Linked DNA regions of Arabidopsis thaliana. The protein of the gene in region 1 interacts with the protein of each later gene in a pairwise test. Each region holds a gene or a part of one and is shown on either strand. Other genes may lie near its edges.

Region 1 (5,787 bases):
GTAATAACAATAACAACAATCTTGAAGAACAAGTGAGGCAAGAAAGAATGATGAAACATCAGAAGCAGCAGCCATGGCTTCAAGCATTGACCTTGAATGTTATTTGATAATAAATAATTTTTAATTTTTAACTGTATTCTGAAATAGATTTGCATCTCTTTTTTTCAATTTAGTAGTTTAATTTTTATTTTCTGATGAGATTGTTTTATCATGCCTCATATCAGGTGATTTTTTTTCCTTTTTATTTAATGCTTATCAGTAATTTTCTTGTTTACTAGTTCTTTTTAGGGTTTTTGTAAATAAAATCAATATTAATGTTTTATTGTTTCTGAAGATAAATATTAATTAATTTCGAGCACAAAATTTATCAGGTGAAGTATCTATATAAGGTTCGATCTTTAGCTATAAAATACACATAAAAAGGAGAAGATAATGAAATTGAGTTTTGTTTTTTGGAGAGCAAAATTGAATTATTATGAATAAAAAATAATAATAGAGGAGAAGTTATAAAAGGGGCCAATGATGAATTAGTTATGGGACAAGAACATGCAATCTCTGCTGTCATGTTCCCTTCAGGCTTCATGAGAATCACCTACTTCCCCTGTTCTAGTTCTGATTTTTATATATATTTCTTTCCCTAATTTCCAAAGAACTAAAATTGAAAAGTTACTATTATTTTTTAATACATGACCCCACGATCTGGTTTGATCATCATCAGCTTTAGAATCCCAAATTCTCTGAATCTATGATCTATACTCATAAGTGATAAGTTCCACAGATAAAGTTTATACATCATAAACACACCAAAATATCAAATGTTGATAAGCAGGAAGAAAACCCCTTGAATCAGAACTTAAAAGTTCCAACAAAAATTCAACTTTATATATGTGTATATAGATATGGTATTCAAGAAATAGAGTGTCTCCGATCTTTTGGTGGTTTGGTTCTGCCTCTACCGTTGTATGGTGTGATGCTAAAAGGGTTTAGCTTACCGAGTTTCTTGGAAACAGAGTTTATGAATGACTTTCTTGGCAATGGAGGCTTACCCGTGGAAGCAGTTGAGATTGGTGAACTTGGATTCGTGCTGATGGTTGATGATGATGTTTTCTTCTCACTCTCTTTCTCAAACTCTTTTAGCTTCATTTTCATTTTGAGAAGTTCGAGCTTCAAGTCCTGATTTTCGCGTTTAAGCTTGGAGAGTTCGTCGGTGTAGGAGCTAAGTTTGGGAGGAAGAACAGCTGCTGGTTGTGGTGGTGGTGGGGCTGGAGAATCTGAATCGTTAGTGACTTCTCCTCGTAGACGTTGTTGCTCGTAGTAAAGGACTTGAACAATGGTCTGAACAGGAAGACGATCATTCTGAGCTGCATGAGCGCAGGCTTCTCGTGATAGTTTTTGGCAGTCCATTAAGCTGCACACTTTCTTCCTCTCTACATCACTCATATTGGGATGCGCCTGCAAGAAAAAACCATAGTTGTTCACTAGAGCTCTCTTAAAGTTTTTCAAAATCTCTAAGATAATGGGAACTTGATCATCTCCTTAACCACAAGATGTCAAATATTTACCAGTTTTTGTAGTCTCATCTAAACGGATTCGGTATAGAGCAAATGAATGTAAATGTTTACTAACTTAATATTACCTTAAGGTAGATGTCGACGGCTCGATACATACCATCTTCAGTAACCCTAGACTGTTCGGGGATAAGTTCAGCTAAACCGATGAATTTCTGCAAGCTCACATTTCTATCAGAAGCAATTTCAGCCATATAATTCTCCAAAAGTTTACCAACACGTTCCATATCACCAGCAAGATCAACACCATTATTGCTTAAGCGAACTCCTTCGACTTCAAACTCGAGATAATTCATGAGAATGCGTTGAACAGTGTCAGTATCAAACATGGAGTGATCTCCAGTGAATGAATAAGAAGGAATCAAGAGATCATCGAGCACGGCTTGTCCTAATTGTAATCCCATTCTGTTTTCCAAGTCAAGTCTACAAGCAACCGTTGTTTCGAGGAATATTGCTGCGCGTAGAAGCATAGAGAGAAAGCTAACCGACATTGCATTTTTCTCTCGAGGAAGAAGGCTTACGATTGTTTCAAGAATCACTCTTTTCTCGTGTTCTTGTTTTGGCTCAATCTTCTTCATTCCTTTCCCGAAAATTTCCTGCATTTGCAAAGAAACGAAACAAACTTTTAACGGATACCCATCATTCTTTGTCCCTAGTTTATGGAACTTCAACAAAAGAAGAGACTCAACCAAAATGGTAATGTGTGTTTGTAAGAAACTCACCAACCCTCGAAGAGATTTCTGAGCATAGAGCATAAGCACTGGACCAAGTCCATACTGCTTAAACCCTCTAGCCATCATCGCGATCAGGACACGTTGAAACGAATCAATCCTAAGAACCGTTAAGTCTTCAGCCCACCAATCAACAACAGGCTGCTTGCTCTGCTGCTGAACCACAACCTCATTGTTACCGCTATTACTTGAAGAAGGACTGCAAAAATGGCTCTCTTGACAAGTCATATAAGCAATTGCATCGATGCAACGGCTTACAAGTTTGACTCTTTCAGCAATGGGCAACAACTTCTCTGATTTGTGCAAGACTGTGATCGAACTCGATAAGCTCTTGAGAGCTACTTCATTCAAGTAAGCTTCGGCTCTTACAACGAGATTTTCCACAGAGTGTTCCTCTGTCATCTCTAGATACTCCGCTGCACATCGCAACATGGCAATGTTCTCTGTGCTCATATCAAAGTTAATGCCGTAGCAGAACTTAGCCGCTAGCTCAAATGCTTCAGAGCCTCCTGGAATATCTGGTATCTTGATAACAGTGGAATCTGAATCTTTGCTTGATTCCGACACAAGTTTCTTGATAAACCCACATTTTGACATGAGTGGAAACTGCAAGATTCAGAGAGAAAACAACCGAATCGGCACGAATGTGATCATGTCATTGGCTTTACATCAGAGAGATTGATCGCTAAATACAGATCTATAATCTACCTTGTGCAGTGAAAACGAAGCTTCTCCTACATGAACGGTGACATCACTAGATACTTCTTGAGAAGAAATCCTGAAACGATGTAATAAAGAGTATTATAAACGATTTCTACTTCAGGACTGGAAACAAAAAATGGATTGAGAAACAAAATAATCTTATGAAGAGAATAAAAAACCATTCACTGGTTCTTTTCATAGCTGAGGACAAAAGATCTTTCTTCTTTGCTGACATATTACGAACACTTAGCTCGCAGTTTCTTTTCACTCAAGAAATTCACCATGGAACACTATTTCAAGTCCTTCTCATGAAGAAGACGTGCCGTAATGTACTACTAAAAGAGAGAGAATAAGATCAAGAAAATGAGCTTCTTCCTCTCTTTTGATAATTGTGACCAAACAGAAAAAGAGAACTCAAATTCTCCAAACAAAGAAAACCATAAACTACCCTTACCACCAAAAGCAATGAACAAGACAGAACAGGGTAGTTATGTCATTCTAATGGAGAGTACAAGATAGGGAGTCAGTCTAAGGAGGGAGTGTGTGTGGTAATGGATTGGTTTAAAAATTGAGAAGAGTCCAAGTGGATCAGACACACATCTTTGTACCAAACTAATAATTCCAAATTATAAAAAAGAGAGTATTGATTCCTCTCCACAAATGTATATATCCCTTACAAATATTAGCTATAAATTGGTTTAGTGGTAAGAAGAAGAGAAGGAAGGAGTATATAAGTAAGCTGCAGAATCTTGGTTTTGTGACAGAACATGAATGATGGGATATTTGTCCCTACAGAGAGTCTTATCATCTTTTTTTCTGATAATTGAAGTCACTATATGCCTCAACATTTTGATTGAGACTCTACTCAATCTTGCAATAAATTGTGTCTCTTGAATAATATAAGACGTCCTCAACGAAAAATTCAAAATTTTCAAATAATTGCAAACAATAAAAACAGAGGATGATACATGAATCTGAGTTTTTACCTCTAGTTGTTTTTCATGGCTTGGTCAGCTAAATGAGTAAAGACGACAGAATCTTCCCTCGAGTTCTCAACATTGGAATCAAAAATCAGTATTGTTAACCAATTCAACCCCTTCAAGATCAATAGCTTTTTGCAGTCTTCCACACTATACATTGAGCCTCTTCATCCATCAAATGCCTCAACTCCTAAAACAACCATAGCGTAATCTTCGCGTGTATCAACCAATTAGCTGTTACATTTGTCGGAGAACCCATTGATAGTGATAGGAGTCTGAACAATCTTTAAATGGCTTTGTCGCAGCCTCCTTGATGAATCGTGGGGACACAGATAGAAAGTTTCCACCTTTTACTTGCCCATTATTGCAGACTTTCTCGAGACTTAGCTCCATTATCACTGATCGAATCCTCGCTTAATGCAAATCCGAAATTTCAAAAGCTTCCCAAAAATAAGAACCCTAACATGTATATAAGCGGGTGGACTATTTGGGTCCAAATATATTGGGCCATAAATAAAGCCCATTATACTATGTCAGGCCTTTATGGCAAATTTAGTTGGCGCAAAAATAACGCAAACGAAAAAAGGAAAACAAAAAGTTAATCTGGTGCGGAAGAGCGTAGTGAATGATAGATACGCTTTTCTTCTTGTTCTTCCTCTTCTTCGATTCTCCTCTTCGACGTCTCTTGTTACTGTGCGCCGTCTTAGCCTTACGTGCGCCAACGGCGCACTCTCCTATCCTACGCTCATCTATCGTCACTCCCACAGCGAGAGCTGTCTCGGAAGTTTCCGGTTGTACTACGATCGATCCAGATTTTCTCGTAGAGATCTCTGATTCTAACCAGACGCGGGCGATGTCGAAAGCTCGTGTGTACACCGAAGTCAATGTGATTCGACCCAAGGATTATTGGGATTACGAGTCACTCATTGTTCAATGGGGGTAAGATTGTTAAACCCTAGAATTAGCTGAATTGGTAGTTGCTAAAGTAATTTAATCGATTTTTGTAGTGTTTGTATTGAATTTGAATTCAGCTTGCTCTGGATTTGCTTCTTGATGAAGCTAATCTAATCAAATTGATGCTGCTAATGTAAAAAACTTTACTTTTATCTCTATTGATGAATTTGATTTTTTAGTTGTGCTTATTTTGCCTTTTAGTTCTTCTATTGTAAAGCAATGATTTTTTAGTTTAACATTTTGATCTTGTTATTTGCTCTCTCAGGGAGCAAGATGATTATGAGGTAGTAAGGAAGGTAGGGCGTGGAAAATATAGTGAAGTTTTCGAGGGTATAAATGTGAACAGCAAGGAGAAGTGCATTATCAAAATCCTCAAACCTGTTAAGAAAAAGAAGGTGAATTGTTTTACATTGTTTTGGATGATTGGGGTTGTTTCTTGAATCTCTCTATGATCTTTTTTTCGTAGATAAGAAGAGAGATTAAAATACTTCAGAACCTATGCGGTGGGCCAAATATTGTCAAGCTGCTTGATGTTGTTAGAGATCAACATTCGAAAACTCCAAGCTTGATATTTGAATATGTTAACAGCACAGACTTTAAAGTTTTGTATCCTACGTTGACTGATTACGACATTCGTTACTACATCTATGAGCTGTTGAAGGTATAAATTCTGGTATTGGTTGGATTATATAAGTATTCCATTTGACTTCATACTCACATTTGGTAAGACTACTTGTTGCAGGCACTAGACTTCTGCCATTCACAAGGAATAATGCACAGAGACGTCAAGCCTCATAATGTTATGATTGACCATGAGCTGCGTAAGCTTCGTCTTATAGATTGGGGTCTTGC
Region 2 (4,426 bases), about 27 Mb from region 1:
TTATATCGTTAAATTTTGTCGTAAAAATGGGTTATATGGTCACATTAATCTTGCATGGGACCAAAAGTAACAAGCTAAATTAATAATGTATTCTTTTATTTTGTTTGTCAACAATTAATAATGTATTCAAAATCAGTAGATATTTTGATTGGAGCAACCTTTCGAACCAACGAAAGAAAAGGGGCAATTATATAACCATCCATTTTTATTGACAGAACCTTGATTTCGTAATTATTTAACGAGCTTCTTTCCTTCCTCCTTCTCTTTTTCCCCAACGAAAGAAGCTTCCATGAAACAGCATCAGAAAAAATCAAAATTAAAAACAAATGAAATCTTTCGTACATCACATTATTAACGCGGTAATTTATTTTTATTTTATTCCCGTACATGTCTTTTAATGGATTTATATATATTAAAAAAGATGTTGATTTGGTTTTATGTGAATACTGTAGTACTAATTTATGCCTACCAAAAAAAAATAGTACTAATTTATGTGTGGCTTGGATTTATATATATGTACAAATGGGCACAGCGTGACAGCGAAAATAGTAACGTACGATTTATCTAATCTTTAAAACGTTGTGTGTTTTGGATAAATTACAAAAATAATTAAAATTGATTTTATATTTTGTTGTACGCTGCGGTGGGTAGATCACGTCGTAGATTTACTATAAAAATTGACACTGCAAAATTTATCCTCTTTTTTTTGGTATTAAACTTTAACCAAAACTTCACAAGATTATAAAAGCCTTGCACTCTAACAATGCAATGCGATGATTTCTAAGTCGTCAAATGTTTAAGTCTGAGGAATTGGGACATAATTAGTGTGATTGTGGGTAGTGATCATACATGGAACTAATACATCTTTATAAAATTATACTGACTTTCCAACTTAGCTAAGTAAGAAAATAGTAACTATTAAAAAAAAACAATGAGATAATGTTAAATATTAATCAAATTTGTTTTTCTTTTTTATTTTGGGCAAAAGTTATTTTTTCAAGCGCACTGTTTGTACTTTATAATGTGAAACATATATTGAAAATAATCAATTGAAATCTTAAATGTAGTCATATTTCTTTTTTTCAAAAAGCATCAAATAGATCAATTTGCCCATAAGACTCGATTTATTTTTCCACGAATATGGGAAAAAACAACTGGAGATTTTTAAAAAGGAATGACATATGTTTTCCAAATGTATTAACTAATGATTCCAACATAAGCAAATATATTTTCTAAAAATAGTGAAATAAACAACTGTGAAATGTATACAAAAAGCATGAAATATATTTTCCCAAGTATTGTTTAAATTTGATAAATAATTCAAGTTATTTGGAACAGTGATGGAGTGGAAAAATAAACATAAGAATCATAATTAAAAATGAACGTAGAGTTTAGATAGTGATTTGAAAAGATTAAGGAAGATTAGGAAATGACACTAGTTATAGGACGATTCCAACCTTGAGCAGTGGGGCGGGAGTTGTAGTAACCTGTCAACCGCAATATATAGCCTGGTGCTCAAAATGAGACTTGAACTAATACTAATAAGGGGAATTTGGATGTTCAAAGGACTTAACCACGATTGATGACTAAACAAAGCAGTGGTTAGCTGAATTACTAACTAACTAGAGCTAGCTGCCTAGGCTAGTCGAAAGAACAATTCTCCGTTTTGAGTTGACCATAAAATAATAATATTCAACAATATTGGAGGAAACATGTTTATATGTTCTTGTAATAATAATATTATAGCAAATAGCCGAAGATACGACGAAGCGTATATGTGTGAAATGAGTATATTCTACAGCCTAAACCCTCGGAGATACCAAATCAACACGACAACAGCGACGGGACACCTGTATGGTTCTAATTCAACTTCTTGTCCACATCTTCATCTTCTTCTTCTTCTTTTTTTAATAGATATATTAAGAAAACAAAACAGAAAATCTCCCACGTCTTTACAAAGAAAATAAAGAAGAAGAAAATAAGGAAAAAGAATCTGATAGTAATTGACAAAAATACCCTCATCTCCTACCTCAAGACAGTAATATATATGTAACAACTCGATACAGAGCATGGCTTATCTCTTATCCGAATCCTCCCAATTTGTCTGTCTCTCTTTTGTTTTCTCTGCTAACAGATCTCTCTAAATATCTGTTACTTTTGTTCATATCTTTTTACTTTTCAAACTACTAATTTTCCTTTCGCTTCTTCTATTAATAACAACACTCTCTCTCTCAGACTTCTTTTCTTTTTTTTCTACGGCGTTGATTCATTCGCAATGACCTCAGTTTCTGTGTACCATAATTGACCTAGCAGATTCTGTTTTTAATGGTAGATTCTGACCCGGTGGAATTTCCGCCGGAGAACCGCCGTGGACAGCTCTTCGGCAAATACGAGGTCGGAAAATTGGTGGGATGCGGCGCCTTCGCGAAAGTGTACCACGGGAGGAGCACAGCGACGGGTCAGAGCGTTGCGATCAAAGTGGTGAGCAAGCAACGGCTGCAGAAAGGAGGACTCAATGGCAACATTCAGAGAGAGATCGCTATCATGCACCGTCTGCGCCACCCTTCTATCGTGCGCCTGTTCGAGGTCCTCGCCACCAAATCCAAGATCTTCTTCGTCATGGAATTCGCCAAGGGCGGTGAGCTATTCGCCAAAGTCTCCAAGGGCAGGTTCTGCGAGGATCTTAGCCGTCGTTATTTCCAGCAGCTCATCTCCGCCGTCGGATATTGCCACTCCCGCGGCATCTTTCACCGTGATCTCAAACCGGAGAATCTCCTCCTCGACGAGAAGCTCGATTTGAAGATCTCTGATTTCGGACTCAGCGCTCTTACCGATCAGATCCGACCCGACGGCCTCCTCCACACACTCTGTGGTACGCCGGCGTACGTGGCGCCTGAGGTTTTGGCGAAGAAAGGGTACGACGGTGCTAAAATCGACATATGGTCATGTGGAATCATACTGTTCGTCCTCAACGCCGGTTATCTCCCTTTCAACGACCATAATCTCATGGTTATGTACCGGAAAATCTACAAGGGAGAATTTCGCATTCCCAAGTGGACCTCACCGGATCTCCGGCGACTGCTGACTCGGCTTTTAGACACGAATCCGCAGACGAGGATCACTATCGAAGAGATCATCCACGATCCATGGTTCAAACAGGGCTACGACGATCGGATGTCTAAATTCCATCTAGAGGACTCCGATATGAAACTCCCGGCGGACGAGACCGACAGCGAGATGGGAGCAAGGAGGATGAACGCATTCGACATCATCTCAGGATCTCCAGGGTTCAATCTCTCCGGTCTTTTCGGAGACGCCAGAAAGTACGACCGAGTGGAACGGTTCGTGTCGGCGTGGACGGCGGAGAGGGTGGTGGAGAGGCTGGAGGAGATCGTGTCGGCGGAGAATCTGACGGTGGCGAAGAAGGAAACATGGGGGATGAAGATCGAGGGGCAAAAAGGTAACTTCGCAATGGTGGTTGAGATAAACCAGCTAACGGACGAGCTGGTTATGATAGAGGTGAGGAAGAGACAAAGAGCCGCTGCATCTGGACGAGATTTATGGACAGATACACTCAGGCCTTTCTTCGTCGAGCTTGTGCACGAATCAGACCAAACGGACCCAGAACCAACTCAAGTACATACGACGTCGTAGTTTAGGTATCTGTCAAATAAATTATCCAAATAATAATTAAAAAAAAATATCCCGGGTTATATGTAATTGCTTTTTTTTTTACCCGGAGAATATCTCTGACATAATTATTCAGGAAATTTCTCGACAAATCTTAATTTTTAGTTGGCAAGTATGTATCTTCTTGTTATGTAATCATAATTATATTTTATATAAATGAAAAATAAAATATAAAAAAATGTATTACTTGTTTTAAATGGCCACTATAATACATTAGTAACGTATCGTGGATGTGAAGTAATGCTATGTGTACAAGACACTCTAACTTAACCATTACTTAAGGATTAGTTAACTATTCAACATGATATTTAACATACATATAGATGTAATTTTTAACAACTCATAAAACACAGTCTTCTTCTGCTATTAATTTTGTCATTATGTAAAAAGAAGTGTCAAGATTTGAGCCATGAACTAACACAACTGATCTACTTTCACCTTTTTGATAAGTAAGAGGTTGTCCTTATCACATCATTGTAAAAATATACTATTAAAATAGATATATAGCTAGTGGACTTTATATAATCCTATCGCATGTGGCTGTGATATAAGATCATACACCAATAATTCTCATCAATCATTTTCTTTTCTTGGTATCCACATTGAATCCAATCATCCATAATCCATTAATTTCAGCTTCAGCAGTTATAATTACTGTAATCAACATATATATCACCTTTTCAATGCAATAATTGTAGGCTCCACGATCTATATATTATCCAATTTACTATATACA

What was found. Proteins that work in one complex are often made in the same cells at the same time.
Region 2: the proteins of AT5G67385 (region 1) and SR1 interact in a two-hybrid assay, tested with the Arabidopsis thaliana proteins (one study listed by BioGRID).

What each region holds. Positions count from the first base shown.
Region 1 is NC_003076.8:26,882,203-26,887,989, reverse strand, and holds AT5G67385 (Phototropic-responsive NPH3 family protein), read right to left. Parts: upstream 3,788-5,787; 5' UTR 3,237-3,787; coding exon 3,181-3,236; exon of another isoform or gene 3,078-3,180; coding exon 3,008-3,077; exon of another isoform or gene 2,906-3,007; coding exon 2,291-2,905; intron 2,165-2,290; coding exon 1,637-2,164; intron 1,453-1,636; coding exon 907-1,452; 3' UTR 560-906; downstream 1-559. Other genes in the region: AT5G67390 (glycosyltransferase-like protein), read left to right, coding at 1-107; CKA1 (casein kinase alpha 1), read left to right, coding at 4,607-4,920, 5,201-5,330, 5,402-5,596, 5,678-5,787. UniProt on the Arabidopsis thaliana protein: Acts as a substrate-specific adapter of an E3 ubiquitin-protein ligase complex (CUL3-RBX1-BTB) which mediates the ubiquitination and subsequent proteasomal degradation of target proteins. Involved in disease resistance.
Region 2 is NC_003076.8:312,651-317,076, reverse strand, and holds SR1 (serine/threonine protein kinase 1), read left to right. Parts: upstream 1-1,671; 5' UTR 1,672-2,325; coding exon 2,326-3,654; 3' UTR 3,655-3,887; downstream 3,888-4,426. UniProt on the Arabidopsis thaliana protein: CIPK serine-threonine protein kinases interact with CBL proteins. Binding of a CBL protein to the regulatory NAF domain of CIPK protein lead to the activation of the kinase in a calcium-dependent manner.